4 linked regions of the Drosophila melanogaster genome follow. The protein of the gene in region 4 purifies or fractionates together with the protein of the main gene of each other region. This does not show direct contact. Each region holds a gene or a part of one and is shown on either strand. Other genes may lie near its edges. The genes, in order: kirre, kibra, rst and kst.

What was found.
Region 1: the proteins of kst (region 4) and kirre purify together in Drosophila melanogaster (affinity purification with western blotting, with the first as the bait; one study listed by BioGRID). This does not show direct contact.
Region 2: the proteins of kst (region 4) and kibra purify together in Drosophila melanogaster (affinity purification with western blotting, with the first as the bait; one study listed by BioGRID). This does not show direct contact.
Region 3: the proteins of kst (region 4) and rst purify together in Drosophila melanogaster (affinity purification with western blotting, with the first as the bait; one study listed by BioGRID). This does not show direct contact.

Annotation. Positions count from the first base shown.
Region 1 is NC_004354.4:2,738,965-2,743,870, reverse strand, and holds the start of kirre (kin of irre), read right to left. Parts: upstream 3,067-4,906; 5' UTR 2,867-3,066; intron 2,715-2,866; 5' UTR 2,627-2,714; intron 2,449-2,626; coding exon of another isoform or gene 2,375-2,448; intron 2,283-2,374; coding exon of another isoform or gene 2,040-2,282; intron 1,974-2,039; coding exon of another isoform or gene 1,880-1,973; intron 1,311-1,879; coding exon of another isoform or gene 1,074-1,310; intron 955-1,073; exon of another isoform or gene 913-954; intron 421-912; coding exon of another isoform or gene 388-420; exon of another isoform or gene 1-387. Other genes in the region: Syx4 (syntaxin 4), read left to right, coding at 388-420, 1,074-1,310, 1,880-1,973, 2,040-2,282, 2,375-2,448, 4,326-4,574, 4,639-4,710.
Region 2 is NT_033777.3:14,721,192-14,725,993, forward strand, and holds the start of kibra (kibra), read right to left. Parts: upstream 3,071-4,802; 5' UTR 2,383-3,070; coding exon 2,120-2,382; intron 1-2,119. Other genes in the region: CG7530 (uncharacterized protein), read right to left, coding at 3,968-4,198, 4,266-4,739. UniProt on the Drosophila melanogaster protein: Regulator of the Hippo/SWH (Sav/Wts/Hpo) signaling pathway, a signaling pathway that plays a pivotal role in organ size control and tumor suppression by restricting proliferation and promoting apoptosis.
Region 3 is NC_004354.4:2,970,662-2,975,553, reverse strand, and holds the start of rst (roughest), read left to right. Parts: upstream 1-1,719; 5' UTR 1,720-2,153; intron 2,154-4,892. UniProt on the Drosophila melanogaster protein: Required for correct axonal pathway formation in the optic lobe and for programmed cell death in the developing retina.
Region 4 is NT_037436.4:3,348,470-3,353,217, reverse strand, and holds the start of kst (karst), read right to left. Parts: upstream 3,111-4,748; 5' UTR 2,964-3,110; coding exon 2,882-2,963; intron 1,723-2,881; coding exon 1,532-1,722; intron 1,254-1,531; coding exon 1,086-1,253; intron 1-1,085.

The sequences.
Region 1 (4,906 bases), on a different chromosome or scaffold from region 4:
AATGGCAAATATGTGATAGGTGATAATCTGTGTTTAGGCCTTTCTGACTGTCCCTCTCTCTCTCTCTCTCTCTCTCCATGACTTTCCACCCCGCCCTGTCGCTTTCCGAAGGGCAGACGGTAAATATTAGGCGGCTCTTATCAGAAACTTGTGCGCTGATAAGCTTTGATAGCAGGTTTCGCTCTCTCCTGCGCTCTCAATCAAATTTTCCCATTCGCGAACAGCTGTTGGAGGCAACGGCAACAACAAACCAGGAACAAAGCTCAGAAGCTGCTGTAAAGGATATAAAGTGGACATTTTGGAGTACTGGAAAGGAATTCAAGGAATTGGCATAAATTTGGCATATAATTGGCATAATTCAAACCAAAGGCAGTCCAAGTTGCAGAAATGGGTAAAGATCGACTGCCCGAGCTTTTGCAGGTAAGAAAATATTAGAAACGTGGGTGGTTGGTTGGGAGGTTGGGATGAGGTAACTGCTAATTAGTTTGAAGCACAGTGGTTTGGCATCACTCAAACCGCAATACGAATAAAATCTACTTAACACGATGAAATACATTTGGTGGTATTTGCCAGGAAAAGGATTCCACTTTTCTCGGTAAAAAGTAATCCTAATCAAAGTTTTTTTTTTTTTTGCGGCACGTTGAAACACATTCTGACCAAGGTGCTGCCACCTTCTTTACAATTGGCCCAATCTCTCACATTTCTGTTGGCGCTTTTGGCACTATTTCGACTTGTGAGCCAAGGGGGTTTGGTGGGTGTTCGCTATGGCATTTATCAGATCGGCCAGAGATAACGACGATAATGTGGCCACACATCACACTTACGGGGCAACCCCGCGTTTCCGCCGACAAACTTTTAGCACCAAGTGAATTTCAGTACCGAAGTCATTTTTATAGTTCATTTACACCGCGCCAGATTGTGAACACACAAACGTAAATAAACTCAACCAAAGTTGTTAGTTTCAATTTAGTTTTTTCTCAGTTTTTCCCTGCAGTTCGTTAGGATCGCATGGACCTATTTTATTTTTATTTATTTATTTTTTTTTCTTCTCATTTTTGCTGTACTAATTCCAGCGCTCATTGAGCACGAACTCGTCGAACTCGTCGTCGAACGGTTCACTGCTTTTGAACGTGTACAGTGGAACCACGGAGTTCATCATTGGCAACACCGGCGGTAACAATAATAGCTACAGTGTCGTTAGCCAAAACTCTCACAGCTGCAGCAACAATAACAGCAGCACCGAACCCAAGGATCGGTCCAGTTCAAAGATGACGCAGTATGGCTCGAATGTGGATGACATACTCAATCCGGTGAGTTTAAGGATCGAAGTGTATACAAAACACAACTTCAGAATTCATACAAGTTTTTACTATTATTGAGTATTGAAATAGTTAATAGAAGAAACTTTAACTCCTAAGATAGCTATCTTGAAAGTTATAAATACTTAGCGAAGCAAGAACATACAACAGAAAGCAGCTAATATCTAGCATAGTTAAACGTTTCCCCTCAATGGAAATAAAAGATCAGAGAGCCGGAGAGAGGGAAACCCTTTTTTTCTTTTTTATGGCTTACCCACACATGTGTGCACTTATGAATCAGCTGTATTACTCAATCGCTGCCGGCGTAGCGCGAAAACTCGTGATAAGTCCAGAAAAAAAAAAAAACATTTTCTCATTAAATACGTTTTTTATTGTGGTTAAGAGAGCGGACGAAGAGAAGGCAAGTAGTCGCCATGTAAACGTAAACAACGGTAGACAACTCTTGCAAAGCAAAAAAGCAATACAAGCACTGCTTCCTCCTGAGCAAGGAAATGTACTGGAAATGCAATGGAAGTGAATATACGATTTTAATAGATTTTTACGGTATCCTTCCTTTTCAGTACACGGAGATTCGCCAACAACTCGCACAGATAGCCGCCAACTTGGAGACGATGAACCGCATGGCCCAAACTGTCAATCTGCGAACTTTCAACGGTAAGAATTTGAATCTAAAGTTGTGAATACTTCCACTGCATCACGGTCTAAATCCAATTCGCACAGAGAACGAGATGGATGAGCTTCACAACAAAAACCTGAGGCTGGGCAATCAGCTAATGACGCGATTCAACGACTTCAAGGCGAATCTGCCGGCGGAAAACGATTACAGCTTGGAGGCAAGGATGAAAAGAACCCTTTTCTATGGACTCCACCAGACTTTCATCAATCTGTGGCACAAAAACGAACTATTCCTGCAGAACTACGAGACCAAGGTCAAAAAGAATCTGAGACTGCATACAAAAATCAGTAAGTGTGATACAAAATGGACGAGTCTGATTAAATGCTTTGCAACTATTACATTATTTTGTTTAAGAACTTCGTTACAATCTACTTTTTAGTTAATTCTGAAGCCAGCGAACAAGAAATCGAGTTACTCATCGAGAACAAGACAACCAAACTCTTTGTGGATAATGTGAGTAAAGAAAGAATTATACAAACAACTAAGTCTTCTGTCTGATATGATTCCTTATCAAAGGTTTCATAAACATATATATTTTAATATGTTCGGCATTTAGTATGTAGTTTAAATGACATTTTATACAATCTAGGACTATTAGCTACTAAATATTACTCAGTAGAGCGCAACTCACCTCGATGTTGTATTCATTTTTCATTTCATTTGACTTTATCGCATCTATAATTTGCGAGACGATCATTTTCATATCACTTTAAGTAAAGCTTTACACAGAAAAAAAAAAAATTTGGGATTTTAATAGCTAATAGGATATAATCACTTTCGCAACTTTTTCAACACTGGAACACCATAAAAAAAATGAAAAAAAAAACACTGAAGCTCATTTGGTGTAACACCCACACACCTTCATACATACATACATATGTATGAAATTATTTTGCTCAAACGCAAAATTACCGCGAATTTAGGAAAAAAAATGCTTCGTATCACAATGCCTATACTCGCATTTACTCGAGTAACAGCACTAAACAACGGTAAATTCAATAAACTTAATTTCGCGGTGCGCAGTTAAAAAACACGTGCGTATGTCGATGCTCACGAAGAAGAAGGAAAGAGGAAGTTTAAACAGGGAATGATCAAGGGCCAACGGTAAATCAAACTCATACATACTCTCTCTGTTTCCCGCTGTTGTATTAACATCATCTATTAGTTAATGAGGCTGTTAAATAAGGCATTATGTTCTGCAATACAGATTATCACATACGTTGATTAATTATATTGGTTGAGTGGTTAGGCTATACATTTTTATATTGAATAGAATATATTTTCAAACTCAGTGGTTCACCATCAAAAAATATAAAAAAAGAAGTGGAAGCTAATTTACCGCAACACACACATTACATTACATACATGTGTAAATAGATGTTAGCACACACATTCTATACATACAAACATATTTCGCGCGCCATTGAAAACGCAAAATTACAGCGAATTTAGGAAGAAAAACGCGCAAATGCTTCGCATCACAATGCGCATACTCGCATTTACTCAAGTAACACTTTTCACCATCTAAAGATCGTTGAATTCAATAAACTTTATTTCGCGGCGCGCAGTTAAAAAACACGTGCGTATGTCGATGCTCGGGAAGAAGAAGGAATGAGGAAGATTTAAACAGGGAATGATCAAGGGCCAACGGTAAATCAAACTCATATGCACTCTCTCTGTTTGCCGCTGTTGTTTTAACATCATCTATTAGTTAATGAGGATGTTAAATAAAGCATTATGTTCTGCAATACAGATTATCACGTACATAGATTAATTACATTAGCCGTATAGCTAAGCTATACATATTTATATATATAATAGAAACTCAGTGGTTCACCATAAAAAAAAAGTGGAAGCTTATTTAGCGCAACACACACATTGTGTATGTTCATACATACATATGTAAATGCGGATTTTAGCGCGCACATTCTATACACACAAACATATTTCGCGCGCCATTGAAAACGCCAAATTACCGCGAACTTAGAAAGAAAAAGCGCGCAAATGCTTCGTATCACAATGCCGATACTTACATTTACATCTAAACCATGTTAAATACAACAAACCTCATTTCGCGACGCACAATTAAAAATCACGTGCGTATTTGGATGTGGCTGAGAAAAAGGGAAGAGGAAGACTTGAAGAGAAAACGATCAAGGACCAACGGTAAATCAATAAAATAAGATCTTCACCCGCCCTTTCTAACATTCTCTGTTAATTAACCTTCAATTTAACACAAAATGTAAAGATCAAAAGGTATTTGTATTGCAAATAGTAAATAAATGTAGACATTTGCTTAATCTTTATAATAACAATTTTTGTATTTTTAGTTTCTGCAGGAAACGGAAAAGGAGCGGCAGACACTGCGCGAAATGATGGATCGATTCAACGAGCTGCGCCGCCTGGAGAAGTCCATCGAGGAGGTGCACGCCCTGTTCATGCGCATCCAGACCCTGGTAATGGAGCAGAGCGAGGTGATCCAGCGGGTGGAGTTTCACGCCCAGCAGGCCACGCTCCACGTGGACAAGGGCGCCGACGAGCTGGACCAGGCGGAGCAGCACCAGAAGAAGGCGCGCAAGGTGGGCACACTGCGAATCCCCGAGAGCGTTGGGTTCTAAAAGGCATTTTCCCTTGTATTTGCAGAAAAAGATAATGCTCATCGTGATACTCGCAGCCGTGTTGCTAGTATTACTCCTTGTTGGTATTTATTTGTGATGCACGCGAGAAACTTTATTTTTTTGGCCTATTTTTAAAATTTATACGTAAGAAAATAAACTTTAAAACCTCAAGAAGAATTTTTGCAATTAATCAACAGGTAAAGGAAATCAATAAAAGCTTATGCTATTGAGAGCGTGCTCTATTCTGAGTCCCTTTAAATCATTAGTTTGTTTGTTTCGTGTGGATTTTGTAT
Region 2 (4,802 bases), on a different chromosome or scaffold from region 4:
GACCTTGCATGCTCATATTGGAATAGATATTTATTTTTTCTGTGATTTCTGTTGGCTGTGCTCGAAACGTGGCGAGGCCTTTAAAGGTTGCCCGAGGCCTGGCTCGCTTCGCTTTATTGTAGAAATTTATTTATGGTTTATTGGAATTTTTGCGCGCTACCGGCAGCAATTTTGAAAATTCAATAGCAATAGCAAGTTGGATGCGGGGGATCGATAGACAGCCGAAGAGGGGACCAAAAAGCGTATATGATTTGGATACAAAATATGCGCGACTGGGCAAAATACCAATAAGGGGTGTATACAGCATTAAATAGTTTTGTTTGGTCAATAGAAATGGTAAAACTATTTTGGAAAAATATGGAATAGTTAGTTAAATTCGAAGACATACTTTGCAGATGTATACAGAAAATACCAATAAAACATTTACTCTTGTTTTTATTTCTTATATTCTATGGTATCCCTCTTCATAATCTGATTGGTTTTTCAAATAGTAAGTAAATCCCCTAAGGTCATTTAAGCTTTAAATTTCTATAACCCCGAAATCGGAACGTAACGCTCATAGATCGCTGACTTTTTGTGCCCACTGGCAGACATTTGAACGACATGTGTGCATTTATAATCTACTTGATGCATAACCCTAGCAAATGCGCAGATGTTTCGTTTCAATTTCAAAGGCGGGCGGGCGGAAGAGCTGAAATTCCACAACGCTTAATTCAGTGAAACATTTTCAACAATGTCCATGCGATTTGAAACAAACAAAGGGAATGTTTGTGTTAATTGAAAGCGTGAAGCGCACACAGCACCAAACGAACTGAAACAATAAGGCGTACACAGATAGAAATGCACTGGAAAAAATTAATATTCAAGCTTTGATGGCTTAATAAATCATTTGCAACGTGATATTGAAATTATAGAGTGTGTCTAATGTCAATGAAAATGCTGTACAACTGCAGAAAGGCAATAAGCATTTGCTATCGAGCAATTGAAGATACAAAATCCATCTAACACTACACATTTCTCTATCTGTGAAAAGCGAAAAATTGAACTCAGCGAAAGAGAGGGCGAAGAATTTCAGAAATCAATTATTTCGAAACTGCAAAAATTCCTACGTACATTTTGCAATTGTTTATGGGCAAAGCAACAGACAGAGATGGCGAGTGGGGCGGCAGCGAGGGGCGCGAGCGAGATGGAAGACAAAAAATGTGAGCGAACGGCAAACTAAAATGTATCTATGAGATACATGGCCTGATCGCCAGCGCTCTCGCTCGCTCTCCTTTGGCTCTCTCGCACTCATTACGTATGAGTTTGTTGGTTTTGTTTTCCTTTTATTTTACAGATCATTCGCCGAGCTTTATTTAACTTTTGCTCTCTCTCACTCGAATTTTTGTTGTTGTATTTCCCTGGCTTTACAATCCATTTTTTGTTTGTTGCCACTCTCTGTTCAGTTCAGTTATATTCGGAGTCTTAATCATCGCATCGGAATGTTTACTCCAAGTTTTTCCCCCGTTCCGTTGCGTTTTGTTTTGCCTGCTGCCGCTGCTGTCTTGTTTAAAATATGTAATTTATTTTGCTGCTGCCTCTTTATTTTATTTTCCTTTTATTTTTCTTTTTTTTTTTTGCTTCATTTCGCCTCCACCGATCGCATTCCTTTACACACACAGCTGCAGCACGCACCTTTTCTTTCCGGTTCAAGAGCGCTTCGGAATCGGAATTTATATGGGTTTTTTTTTTAGCTCGTTTGCCGGAGCTTCCTGAATGAGTGAACTGCTGATCTCTCACCTGCGTTTTATGCCTTCTTAAGCCACTAACAACTTGCCAAGAATTTTATTCTATTTTAATTTGATTCTCAATGAGTTATCTGCTTCACTTATTAGCCATTAAGCAGCAATTGGGGTTTATAAGCACTCTTGATAGTTTGCGATGTTAAAGCATCTATAACTTATTTAAAACACAACCTGTTGGTTTGGTCATTCGTTATGTATGCCTCATTTCTGATAATTGTTCTAGTAGTTTTAATAAGTTTAAACTAACTTTCCAAATGCAAATATCTTATAATTATATTTCAGATCGCCCTTGTTTCAATTTCGTTTCTTTAATTGACCCTTTCCGGAACACTTACCAATCTCTGGGATCCAGCCAGGTGGTCTTCTTGTTGATATGATCTATGTAATAGGTCTTGCCATCGAAATCCTTGGCGATATCCCAGCCATCGGGAAGTGGGAAGTCGCTGTGGTGTTGTTGCTGCTGCTGATGATGCGTGTGTTGTTGTTGTTGCTGTTGTTGATGATGATGATGATGTTGCTGTTGCTGCTGTTGGGGTCGCAGGTGGTGGGGATGCAGATGATGCTGCGATTGCGATGCGGTTTGTTGCAGATTCGGCATTTTAACTTTGTTTCTCGCCGTGTACTTTGGTTAGTCTGAGAAAACGTCGTTGTTGCTGGATTTTTCACCCGACGCGCGCCTTTTCTTTCTTTTCGCTATTGCTATCTACGTTTGCTTCTTTTTTCGGGGGGTTTCTCTTTGCGCTGTTTACATTAGCAAAGACATTTCAATTCCGTTTCTTTTGCTCCGGCGATAATGGAGACCGACCCGCACACACACACACACAACACGGCCACACGGTGACGGGCGTAGAGGCACACACCGAGCCAACTCGAATACACACGCGCGCAGGGGAGAGAGAGCGGGAGAGCGCGGGCGCGCTCTCAATTATTTATTTACTTTTTTCGTAACTGCATTCCATTCCAGCTCAAACACACGCACACATATGGGGGACGAACACAAGCGCACACGATCACTGCTCACAGTTGGTGCTGCTTCTTTTCATTTCTTGTTGTTGCAAGCGTTTGAACTCCTTTACTTATTTTCTTATTTTCGCCTAATTGAAACTAATTAACGACGATAATCCAACCATCCACTTGGTGTTCACAAAAAAATATGTACTTCAGTTTAGTGAGTTCGCGCCGTCGCCGATCTCTTCGGTTCCGGAATTCCTTGGGGGAGCAGCAAAAAACACGAGTAGCGCGCTTGATGACCGTCCGATTCGGATTCGGAATTTGTTTTGGTAACATTCGCTGCTAGTGGTGTAGCAGAAAACATCGCATTGCATATCGATACACTCGCGGCGATGTTATTCGATGTATTGGTTGATATCGATATTATAGGCTGTATTGACGCGGTTGCAGAGATGCGATATTTAACAATCATGCACGAAAAGTATTTATTGTTATTTGGCTTGTGTAGTCCCCAAGCATAGGTGTAATTGTTGAGGGAAGAAAATAGGAGTTGTACGTTCAAAGATCGGCTTGGTAACAGGAACTAGTTCGGTTCTTCAAGCGATGTTAATCAAAGCCAGTTCCGATAGATCATGTTAACTCGCTCTGTTAACAATTACTGTTATCTTAATCCTAACATTTCCGTTACATTTTAAAAACAGAAAAAGAAAAAATTTAAAAAAAAAGACTGTAAACTGAGTTACGCATTTCGAAATCAATATGTATCCCAACCATAGATAGAAAAATAAATTATGTTTCCGAAACATAACTTCAATAAAACCACAATTTCGCTTGCTTTGTACGTTTGATATTGTATTTGCATTTTATGAATTGTAAAAATTGAGTCAACAAGACTAACACAGCTTCAGCTCAAGACACATGCAATTTCATTGACATTGTTTAATTGTATATATTAAAGGAAATCAATTAGGATATAAAGAGAGAAACCTTTTTGCCGCTTATGCGATGCCAACTATCTGGATCTGGATTGTCTAACACGAAACCCTAACTAATTGGTAAATTAAACATAAATTAATCATATCGGTCAACAACTACAACTAAATATTAGTTATTAGCGGATAAAGAGCGCCCCATAAACTATTTACACTAAGCTTTAGTCTACTAGAGTCCCGGATTCCATCTCCGCTCCTCGGATCTTCGGATCTTAACTCAGATGTTCGGATCTTCAAGTTCTAGGAGAGAACTGGTGCAGTGCATCCGTTATTCAGGCGATACTCGGCATAGACCAGTCCGGTGTTGTGCCAGTGATAGAAGGCGGCCACGATGATCAGGTGCCACCAGTTGTGCGAATGCCCAACGAAGTCCACCTTGCCGGTGAACCAGCGCTCCGGAATCTTGGCCGCATAGAAAACGAAGGCGACGAGGCAGAGCAAGTACATGAGCACGATGCGGGGCACCATCAGCTGCAAATGGTAATGATTGATGGATTAGCAAATGACAAGATTCCATAAATTTCCAACTGATGCCTACCCTGACTAGCTCGTTCTCCAGACCGCCCATGGCCACCGCCCAGTGGCCCAGAGGTATGATTCCATAGGCAGACCAGAGTAGCAGCACCGCCACCTTGCCGTTCATGGACACATTCAAACGGGGTATCTGCACGGCAATGGCCAGTGCGAACATGCCCAGTGCAATCGTGGAGTACAGGGTGCGCAGGAAGGTGTGGCACCAGAAGGCATAGTACATGCCACTGATATAGATGGCCACCAGCGACAGCGAAATGCCCAGGAAGTCAACGGACAGAAAGAGCTCGTAGTGCTCCTCCGATTTGCAGGAGAAGATGTGGTATATGGCGGACATCAGCATGCACAGACAGAAGCAGACCAGCAGGCAGACCACCAGCACCTGGTCGCTCAGGGAGGCGTGGAGGCGCAGGAACTGCAGATCGAAGATGGTCAGTCCAATGAACAGGATGCAACCGGCCAGATGGCTCCAGATGTTGATCTATGAAAAATATAGCAATAATAATGTTATAATAATAGGGAATAGAGTTTAAGGAAAACTATT
Region 3 (4,892 bases), on a different chromosome or scaffold from region 4:
TATTTAAGGACAAAACTTGTGCATGCATTTCGATTTTATTGGTAATATAGTGTTTCAAAATGCTGCAACAGAAATCCTATCTTGCGAATGGAATTTATGGGATCTGGCTATGAACCTTCTTATCGAGAAAGGCTTTTTGTTATAGTTTGTTGGGGTGTTTATAAACAATTTTGGACTACGCATATGTAGAGGAAATGCCCTGACTATGCAACAACGTTCGCCTTATCTTTCGTCTTTGTGTAAATTTAGAGCGCAATGCATTGATATTCCCATACGGCGGCCATAAATTACATGACAATTACTTGGGGAGCCGAAGAAAATCAGCGGTGCTTGGAAAATCCCCCCTCGAAAAGGCAAGCAATGCGTGGAAAGAGGCGCGAAGAGAGAGCGGAAAATTGGAAGAGAGCCGACACTTCATCACTCGCTCCGAATTTTCCGATTTTCCGGCGGTGCCTCCCTCACACGCGTAGTTTAAATTGCGTTCGCAGCAATCGTGCCATAAATTTCCCTTCCGAAACTTGTTTATTTTGGTCTTGCATGTCTCCAGTGCCGAAATCTTCCCATCCAACAGTCCATCTTCATCGCTGGTAGTATCTTTGTATCTTTTGTATCTCCCTATCTCTCGTGGAGCGCACAGCTTGTGTATCGATTCAATTATGGGAAAACTTAGAATCAACTCATCATGCAGTCGATTGATTAACAAGTCGCACCTAGTAAAATGGCTCCCACAGTGTTTGAGTTTTCAGCTGAGCTTGGCTTTACTACAAGTGTGACATTTGAAATGTTCTTAAGCCAACTAAAATTATGCATGCAGCAAAAAGCGCAGGAATGTTGGCACTTCAAAAAAGGGCTGCTTAATGTAAAAATTAAGCTAATTTAATGATAAATTAATAGCTTCTTTTTGAAAATCATGTTAAACACTTCTCTGTGTGGTTCCCATGGGATTTCCGCCGTTTTGTCAAGCCACAGATTTGGACTTTTTACTCAAATTGCTCTGTAGAGGACCATATGTCGCTCTTCACAGCCCTTCTGGCATTCCACAATCGGAAGAAAGACTGCAGATTTCTACCAAAACGGGAAGAATTGTGGGTGCGAAGAAGGAGGAGAGATTGGTGAACAGCTGCTGTCCCGACAGCATTGACCTCTTGACGGCCAATTCTCCTACTTTATCTCAATCTGCAGTGTTTAAAGGGTTTATACTTTATGTGATCTTTTTTTTTTTGTTTTTTATCTTCTCCGGCAACAGTTGGTGGTCCACACTTTTGGCGGAAGGTGGCGCTGCTAACAGCAAATCAGAGTGCAATTAAGGCCAAAAGACAGATGGCCAAAAATCGTGGCACATCGGCTGGCAATATCCCCAAATTTGCGTGCACAGAAACAAAAAAGATATGTATAGCGAACACTAAATTGATTCGTATAAATAATTTATAATATTTTTTAATATAATTTATACATTGCATCTGAAAACTTATAGTAAATATATGATATGAAAACATATATCCCATATATATGGGAATTTAAAAAAACATTGGCTGCCAAACATAATCCAAATGAATAACAACATAGAACAGAGGTTGCATCGAGCCGCGCTGTTAGCCCTGTTGCATGCTGTTAGAGCCTGAAACACCACTTGCAACATCATCGAACATGTTGCGTCGCTTTGTTTTGTTTGAAGACAAGCCGCGCCGGCCGAAGAAGTCGGATTTTTGGATCGAGTTCGCACTTCGTTCCGTTCGCTCGTACCGTTCGCTTCGTAGCGGCGGAAACTCCGTACTTTCGATAGCTGGTATCTCACAGATACTTTTCGAGACCCCGAAGACGAGAACTCGCATCGCATATTCGCCCGAGAAAACTCTCAGTAAATCTCAGATAATTAAAACGAAATATATAACTAAACGTCAATTTTTTTTTTGGTGCAAACGCAAGCCAAAAAATTTCATTTTGGTGTGGATTACCAGTGGAAAAGTGTGTGCTTAAAATGGAATAAACAAGGCTATCATAAAAACAAAGCCCGAAAAACCAAACAAGCTGAAAATTGTCAACCCAACAATTATGGATTAGTGCCAGTGGCCGGTCAGAGTCAGTTAAAAATATATATGCATATAAGAGGACTAAGGAGCCGAAATTGTTTAAATTGATTACAAACAAACAGTGTGAGTAAAAAAGTTCATCAGTAAAATCTAAAGAAAACTCCTGTGCTTTTGGCTTTTTTCATGCGCCAACTGCAACAGCTGCTCCCTCACTTTGACCTTTTCGTTTGATTTTGTTTATAATATACTGTTACTGGCCAAGTCTCCGCCTCTTTTGGCCCCTCAAAAGTTTCGCTTTTGGCCACTTTGGCATTTGGATTTCGAGTTTGCTTGAGTGTATTTTTTTTTTTTTCGAAGAAAATATATGTGTTTTTAATTGAAAATGGAAGCATGATTTTTGGTTGTAAGTAGACTTTGTTAAAGCAAAATTTATATTTTCCTTTCTGCCTAATGAAATGCCCAATGGCAAGTACTAGTTGCTGAAAATATTAAAATGTAATAAAATATAAAATAAATTAAATTACCATCTTTCGAATAACGTTTAGATCTTATCAATCTGAAAATGAGGTTTATTATACAAAATCTATGTTAAGTTGTATATCACAGATATACTTTCCCCTCTACAATAATAGATCTTCAACTCCAGACCTTGGACACCTAATTAGCTTCTTCTGACCATTCCATCCCTCTGAGCATCTATAGAAAAAAGTGCTCTTCTTAACTGATTCGATCTCTTCTTTCCTTGGTTTTGCATGATTTATGATTTAAAGCAATAACTTTGAAAAACAAAATGTACAAAGCTAGTCAACGATTAGGCATTTCGTAAGCACTTAAGTTGAAAAATTAATATTAAATGTATAGAATGATTTTTTGTTCGTATACAAGTATGTACACAAACAAAAAATCTACTTGAATATATGCTAAACAATGCTAAAATCATTCTGAATAATTTACGGCAAACGATAAACTTTAATGAGTATAACATTCAACTTCAAGTTTTAATCTACATAATAGGCAATGTATATTAAATGTGCGCTTTGGTGTAATTCTTTAATGCGTATATTTATTTATAACATTCGAATGGTATACCTATTTCAATGGTTTATTTCTGACATTTATGGATTAATTCATTTGGTTTTAAGTAAATAAATTTGCAAATACATTTAATTCCTTTTGTCATTGATTAAGTGAAATGCCAGTAATTCGACTCTCTTATTGACACATTCAAAAATCATAAATCAATTATTCCAAATCCAATAGAAATTTATTTATTACTCATAAAATTTTTCTCTGTGTAACTCCCCCCAGCTGTAAGCGAAGAAAATGTTGCTAGCGGCTGTGGTGTTAAAGAACAGAAATGCGAGCTAAAGAAGCTGAAGGCCCAGAAGCTTTACCAATACATCGATACATTGCACACAGATACTCAAACATCTGCAAATGCATATACAAGCGTATCTTCAGACTCACGCACCTGTCCCTTGTCATTAAAAAAGCAAGCAAAGTTTCAATCTTCTTTGGCAAGCTAACCTTTTACTTACTCTGCTCCATCCTCTGGGTTCATATATGTCGCATGATAAACACCGGAAAAATATTGATTGGCTGGGAGATTTGCTAAAGCACGATTAAGAAAACTAGTCTCAAAAAAAGTTAGTCTTTGACCAGAAAAAGTATTTGTTCTTTTTTTTTTTAATTGAAATTAACTTATTTTCATACTTATTTATCTTGATTGAAGCTCCTATAAATTCATTTTGAATAACGTTATTAAGTTTTTTGGTTTGAAAACAAAAAGAAAAAATATTTTTAAAGTGTATTTGGGAACGTGTGTGTAGCTTTTGGATTTTATAATTTGGCCCAATTTGCTGGCATTGCAAATTGCTAAAAACGTCTGAAACAATCGACAGGAGGAAATTGGGGAGTGTGGGAAAAGGATGGCAAAAGAGGCGTTCGGTAGGCGTGGCAGGAAGTGCAACATGCTCATGTCGCAAGTTGTTGCTGCCGCCTGTATTTCTCCTGCACTTTTTGTTGCTGTGTTATCGATTGGCGAGGCCGCATTTGTTGGATCGTTTTGACGCGTCCTCGTCAGCATGTCGAAACTTATTTTTCCTTTTCAATTTCGCCCTGCGATTTTGCATTTTTTTTGTTTTTTTTTTTTCGCCTGCCTGTCGCTTTGTTAGTTCTTTGCATGCCACAAATTATGTTCGTCACCCCCTTTTGCCCCACCGCGCTGGATGGATTACCTTGAGAGCGGAGCTGTCAGGCTTTTTGACAGTTTCTGCCGTATCGGTTCCACCGATTTGACTGCTGCGCTCATCCGTTTTGCCTGTTTTTTTTTTTTGTTTAAGAAAGTGCTTCGTTTAATGAATAATTGGTATTTTATATCATTTAGGTACAATAAGAAAAGACTTATTGCCTGGTATTTGCATCTGCCAGCTAATTTCTCATCTCATCTCTAAAAAGAAATGCAGACGAGGGCATTCGAAAGGCAAGCAATTTATCCCTTGGTTAATTTGGTTAATTGAAGACAATTGAGGGCCGCTTTGCAGTTCATTAAGCCTCATCAGCGTTGAGAAATGGGGCCCAGAATCCAGAAGTCCAGAAGTCCGAATCCCAGATCCAGTTCCATCTATACTTTCCATTTCCAGATCTGTTGTCTTGTCGCCAGACTAATTAAAATATTTGCACTCAAATGCTTAAGCAATAAATATTTGTCAAGCCATCATCATTAGGAGGAGGCTATAAGGGGGGGGGGTTCTGACCTCAAAACATGGCACTCCACTTTCTGGGGTGGGGGCAAAATGGAAATGGAAAATGAAAATCTATGAGAGGCGGCATTTTTAAAGTGCGCCACTTTGGCCTGCATTT
Region 4 (4,748 bases):
GTGGGTTAATCATAGATTTATGATCGATTTTGTGCATATTTATAGGAATTTAAATAGTATTGTCAAAATCATAAATTATATATACATTTATAATTTATGTATGGCAGATTATCGTTTTTAATAGTTCATAAGAAGGCAGTAAGCTAACTTTATTCCTATTCCCCGACAAACCGTTTGCTTTAATAGACTCGTTCCGAGTTATTCTGGTACATTAATGTTTAGTAGGGAGCTACGCCTTTTGGTTCTCCTAATGGCGACTGGAAATTCCAAGAGTCGTGCTCCGCTAAACGCTTCAATGAGTCCCCAAGGGATCCTCCATCGAATGCTCGCTTGTGCGTAAATCTTTCGCTCGGGCTTCTTTCAAGCCTAAACACCAATTAAAATGCACTCAATACCCGTGTCACACACAAAAGACAAGCCCGAAAAACAAATGAAATACGAAATGGAATGAAATGAAATGGTGAAAAGTAAAACCGAAAACTTTCACTGCTTCGCCGCTTAAGAAACAAAGTGAATTAGTTGGACAGTGGGACAATTTGATGCGTTTTAATTGCTTCTAATTAGATTAGACCAGAGGCACCTGACTAGCCAGAAGATTCGAAACTATGTCGCACGCTAAGCTCCCACTTTGCTCAATTAAAATCAAATGCGCACGAGAGGTGCAAAGAAAGTACACATGTATAGTATGAGCGCGGCAGTGGAAAATGTGCCAAGCGCAACAAAGTGAAGTGAAGTCAAGGAAAAAATGCATTAGAAAGTATGCAAATATTTCAGATATTGCCAAGAAAACGCGGTGCCCAGGCTAGGTAATTAAATATATACTTTTTCGCCATGTCTTGACGTCGCCTCACACTTCCCGCTTCCCCGAGATCCGAAATCCCGACTCCAACAGCCAGATCCGTGCACCTCATATGGCAAACAAAGCACGCAATGGCCACGCGCAGCTGCGCAGGCGCGACTTGCACTTTCTACAAATGCGTAGAGAGCTTTACACTCTCCAGTCTTCAGTCTTCGGTCTTTGGTCTTCCAGCAACTGCAACGCCTTCACTCCCTTCACTCGCCGCCATTTATGTGGCATATCTCACCTTGGTGTGCAAGAATGCCAGACTCTTGTTGACATTTTCGATTTTATGGACGCGCATGCGTCCGCTGTTCGGCTTGCCCAGTTTCTCCGACGATATGATCTCCAGCAGCTTCAGCAGCTTGATGCCATCGGCCAGGTCTGTGAATAGGTCTTCGACCTCCATTTTGGCCTACAAAGAAGACGATAAGCCCAAATGTGAGTTGCATTCATAAATTGGTGGGGCCATAAAAGTTTCTTCCAATCAAAATTTCAAGTGAATGTATAATTTCGAATGTCATATACATATGGCGCTTTCATTTGAATACATCACTTTGATCGAGAAATTATAGTATTTAAACAATGAAAACTTTATGTGCTTAGCAAAACAAAGCATTTCTTTCATTTGTACTTTATAGTAATTAAATTACAAGTATTGGGAGTGATGAGTGACTCAAGTAGTTTACACACCTTGATCAGAAACGAGTTCATCCATTTTGTGAATGTCTTCTTCTGGATGTGCAAGCGCTCCTCCTGCAGCGTTTTGATCCGCTCGTTCTCGAACTTGATGATGCCGTCCCGCTGGGTCATGTTGGCGGAGTTGCGATTGGAAGGCGTCGGTGTCTGCAGCGCGGAGTAGCCTCCCGGCTCATATTGTGATGCTAAGTGGGGGGAAGGGAGGAGGAACAAAAATCTCGGATTAGTTCGAAGTCATATAAATGCAACGCGAAACGTTTAGGCTTAGTGTTTGTTTTGATTTTTTTTCATTTTTTTTGTATTTTTTTCCAGGAAAGAGAAATGGGCAAACCACCTGACAACAGACCAAAATCAATAATGGGCATAGGGAAAATAGAGGAAAAATACGAAAGGTATGTGGCAGAGATAGGGAAAGCACGACCGTGACGTACGAACCTATTGATTTAGAGATAACGAGTTATCGCCAACATAATTGCCTCTATAAAAAAATCCCTGGCTAAAGTTAGAACCACATTCCAAGGCAGTTTATTTGTAGTCTTTCGATTATGTCAAACGTAATTCCTAATTTTAAATCATTCCATCAGTGGGTTCCCATAATGTCAAAGATTACCAACGGGTATTTCAAACGAAGAACCAACAATCACTTTTTATTCGAACGCCTCATCACGTACTTTTGTTTTCTAGACCCGTTAAGATAAGCCATGTGTCGATTGGCGTTTCACATTTAGATCTTAGCTGAACAAAATTGTGAACACCTTTTTGAGTAAGCTTGATAGTGAATTTTAAAATATAGTGAAAGATTTTTAAGATGTAGAAATTAGCAATCTGTTGCTTTATTTCAAGTAACTTTACCTCATGAAAGAGTAAGGTATCTTTAAATTTCTTTTGCTAACAAGTGTAAGATAATTTCAACTCTACCAACTATAAACAAACCAAGCTGTGACCAACTTTCCAACCCAGTAGATATACCCCCAGCTAGCGTATCGAAATCAAAACAGTCGCTGCCCAGCGATAGTGGTTCTGCGAGCTTATCTGTCGACTGCCAAAATTACTTCATACCTATGGAAAATGCTTCACGACTTTGTTACTTTTTTTTTATCAACGGTTCGTTTTACGTAATACTGGACAAGAGAATATGTTAAAAAGTGAACAAAATTGGAGCGGAAACTGCAGAAAGCGAAACCATTTTTCTAGGCCGTTGACTCATTTGCCAAATATTTGCGCTCTTATCAACCAAATATGAAGTTCCACCCAACTGAGATAGATAAGAGCAGGTTACTTTCGTTTCGGGATTGTATAATGATCGCGAGCTTCCAGGGGAAAAGTTCAAGTTCAGAAACCTACCCAACGATTGGCGTTCGTAGGATATATATCGGCGATACTCGTTGCGCGAGAAATTCGAGCGCAGAACACTATTGTACTCCATGGCCTTTGATCAGTGATTTCTAGGGTGTTTCTCAAGATATCCGGGCTTTCAGCACCGAGTGCCGTTCCTTAAAGCTAATCTTTCGTTTTTTATTTCTATTTTGTATTTCGACACTAAGTTTCGTTCCTACGGTCAGATGTTCGCAGAGCCCGCGCCGTTTGGTCACTAAAAACAATGTGTGCCCAACATTTTGCACGCCCCAAAAATGTAGAGTGGGGGAAAGCTTCCTCCCCCTCTTGGCTCTGTTTATCAGATGAATTAAAAGCCAAATGCCAAGAGTGGCAACAAAAATGCTTCAACTGGCCTATGGTGAATTCCCTTTATCGCACGAGCTGATAGCAGTATGAGAAAACGGTTAAGGTATCTGAAAATCCTTGCCTTGACAAACAGCCAATAGACCCTGTCGGCTTATCTTATCGGTCCATAAATCCCGCATACCTCGGACATATGTTTTTCGGAATAAATACATATATATAGAGGGGAATGCACTTCCAATATCAAGTTATTTATGGCGCCCTATCAGATTCCGCAGACTAATGAATGGGCCATTTAGAATAGCTGCCAAATTCGATCATTCCCAATGACATCATGCCAAAGAGTTATAATCTGCTGTCTACTCGGGTCGGGTGTCATAACTCCGCTAATAGATCATTTACTATACATATGTGCCGCCAATGGCGTTGAGGTCACCTGGAAGGCATTCGCGGCTAATTGGCAAACAGAACACTTCGCTTTCGCAAATAGAAAAATCAATTAAAAAGAGGTGAAAACTAAACAATAAAAAACCAACAACACCAGTGTGACAATAAACTTTACCATACCGCGATAACGTTCGACGCTTATCATTATCGAGTGGCAAACAAAACCTAGAAAATGCAGAGTGCGGCATAACTTTAGGCTTAGCAGGAAAAGCAATTAAAACTGTGCCTCCTTGATCCCCAAAATAGAACGCATCCCCCAACTCACATACAGCTGTCTTTGGCCATAAACTATTTATACAACTAAAGTCGCCGGAAAAGGACGGCAGAGGCAAAGTCAGGGGCAAATGCGAACCGAGGCTCGAATTCCGGGCATCCTGTTTACTTCAATTGTGATACAACATGGTAGCACAGCACATGCGCGGCAGCTGGGAGCAGGAACACTCGGATTCCGCGCCTCTTTCTATTTATAAACCACCACACTTCACTCATCGCAAACACTTTGAAAACGATTTTTATAGATTTTCAACTTCTTCGGTGTTCTCTAGATCTTGTGTGTTCCACATACACGGTTAGCTAATGAACAAGGCGTGCAACAACCTCGGAGTTGTGTAAGAATTTGCATAAATCAATAAACATTTAGCATTTTGTATGCTTAATTTTTATGGCCCATACGCTAAGTCACACATATCATTTAGCAAATCCCGAATTAAATGATACTTTAAAGTATATCAAAAAGAAGTTAGGCATCTTTTTTTGGCAACCTTTTTCTACTCAGATAACATCCGAGGTAGTTACCGATTTTAATTACTTTTGCGTGAGTGATGGCATATGTCTGATAAAAGCGTAGTTTTTCAGCCATCTCCGCTTTGAACCGAAAATAATGAGACCTATAGCTCGGCAAATTAGGGAATTGGTGGTCTTTGTTGTCAAAAATTTCTACGCATAAAATTACCTCATCAGTGGCTGGAAATTAAAATTCAGTTTTGGCCTCAGTCGAAAAGAAGAATACAGATTGACACAACACAACAAGTAGAAACCCACAGTGATATAAATTCTTTTGTTTGTGCCTGGCATGCTAAACAAT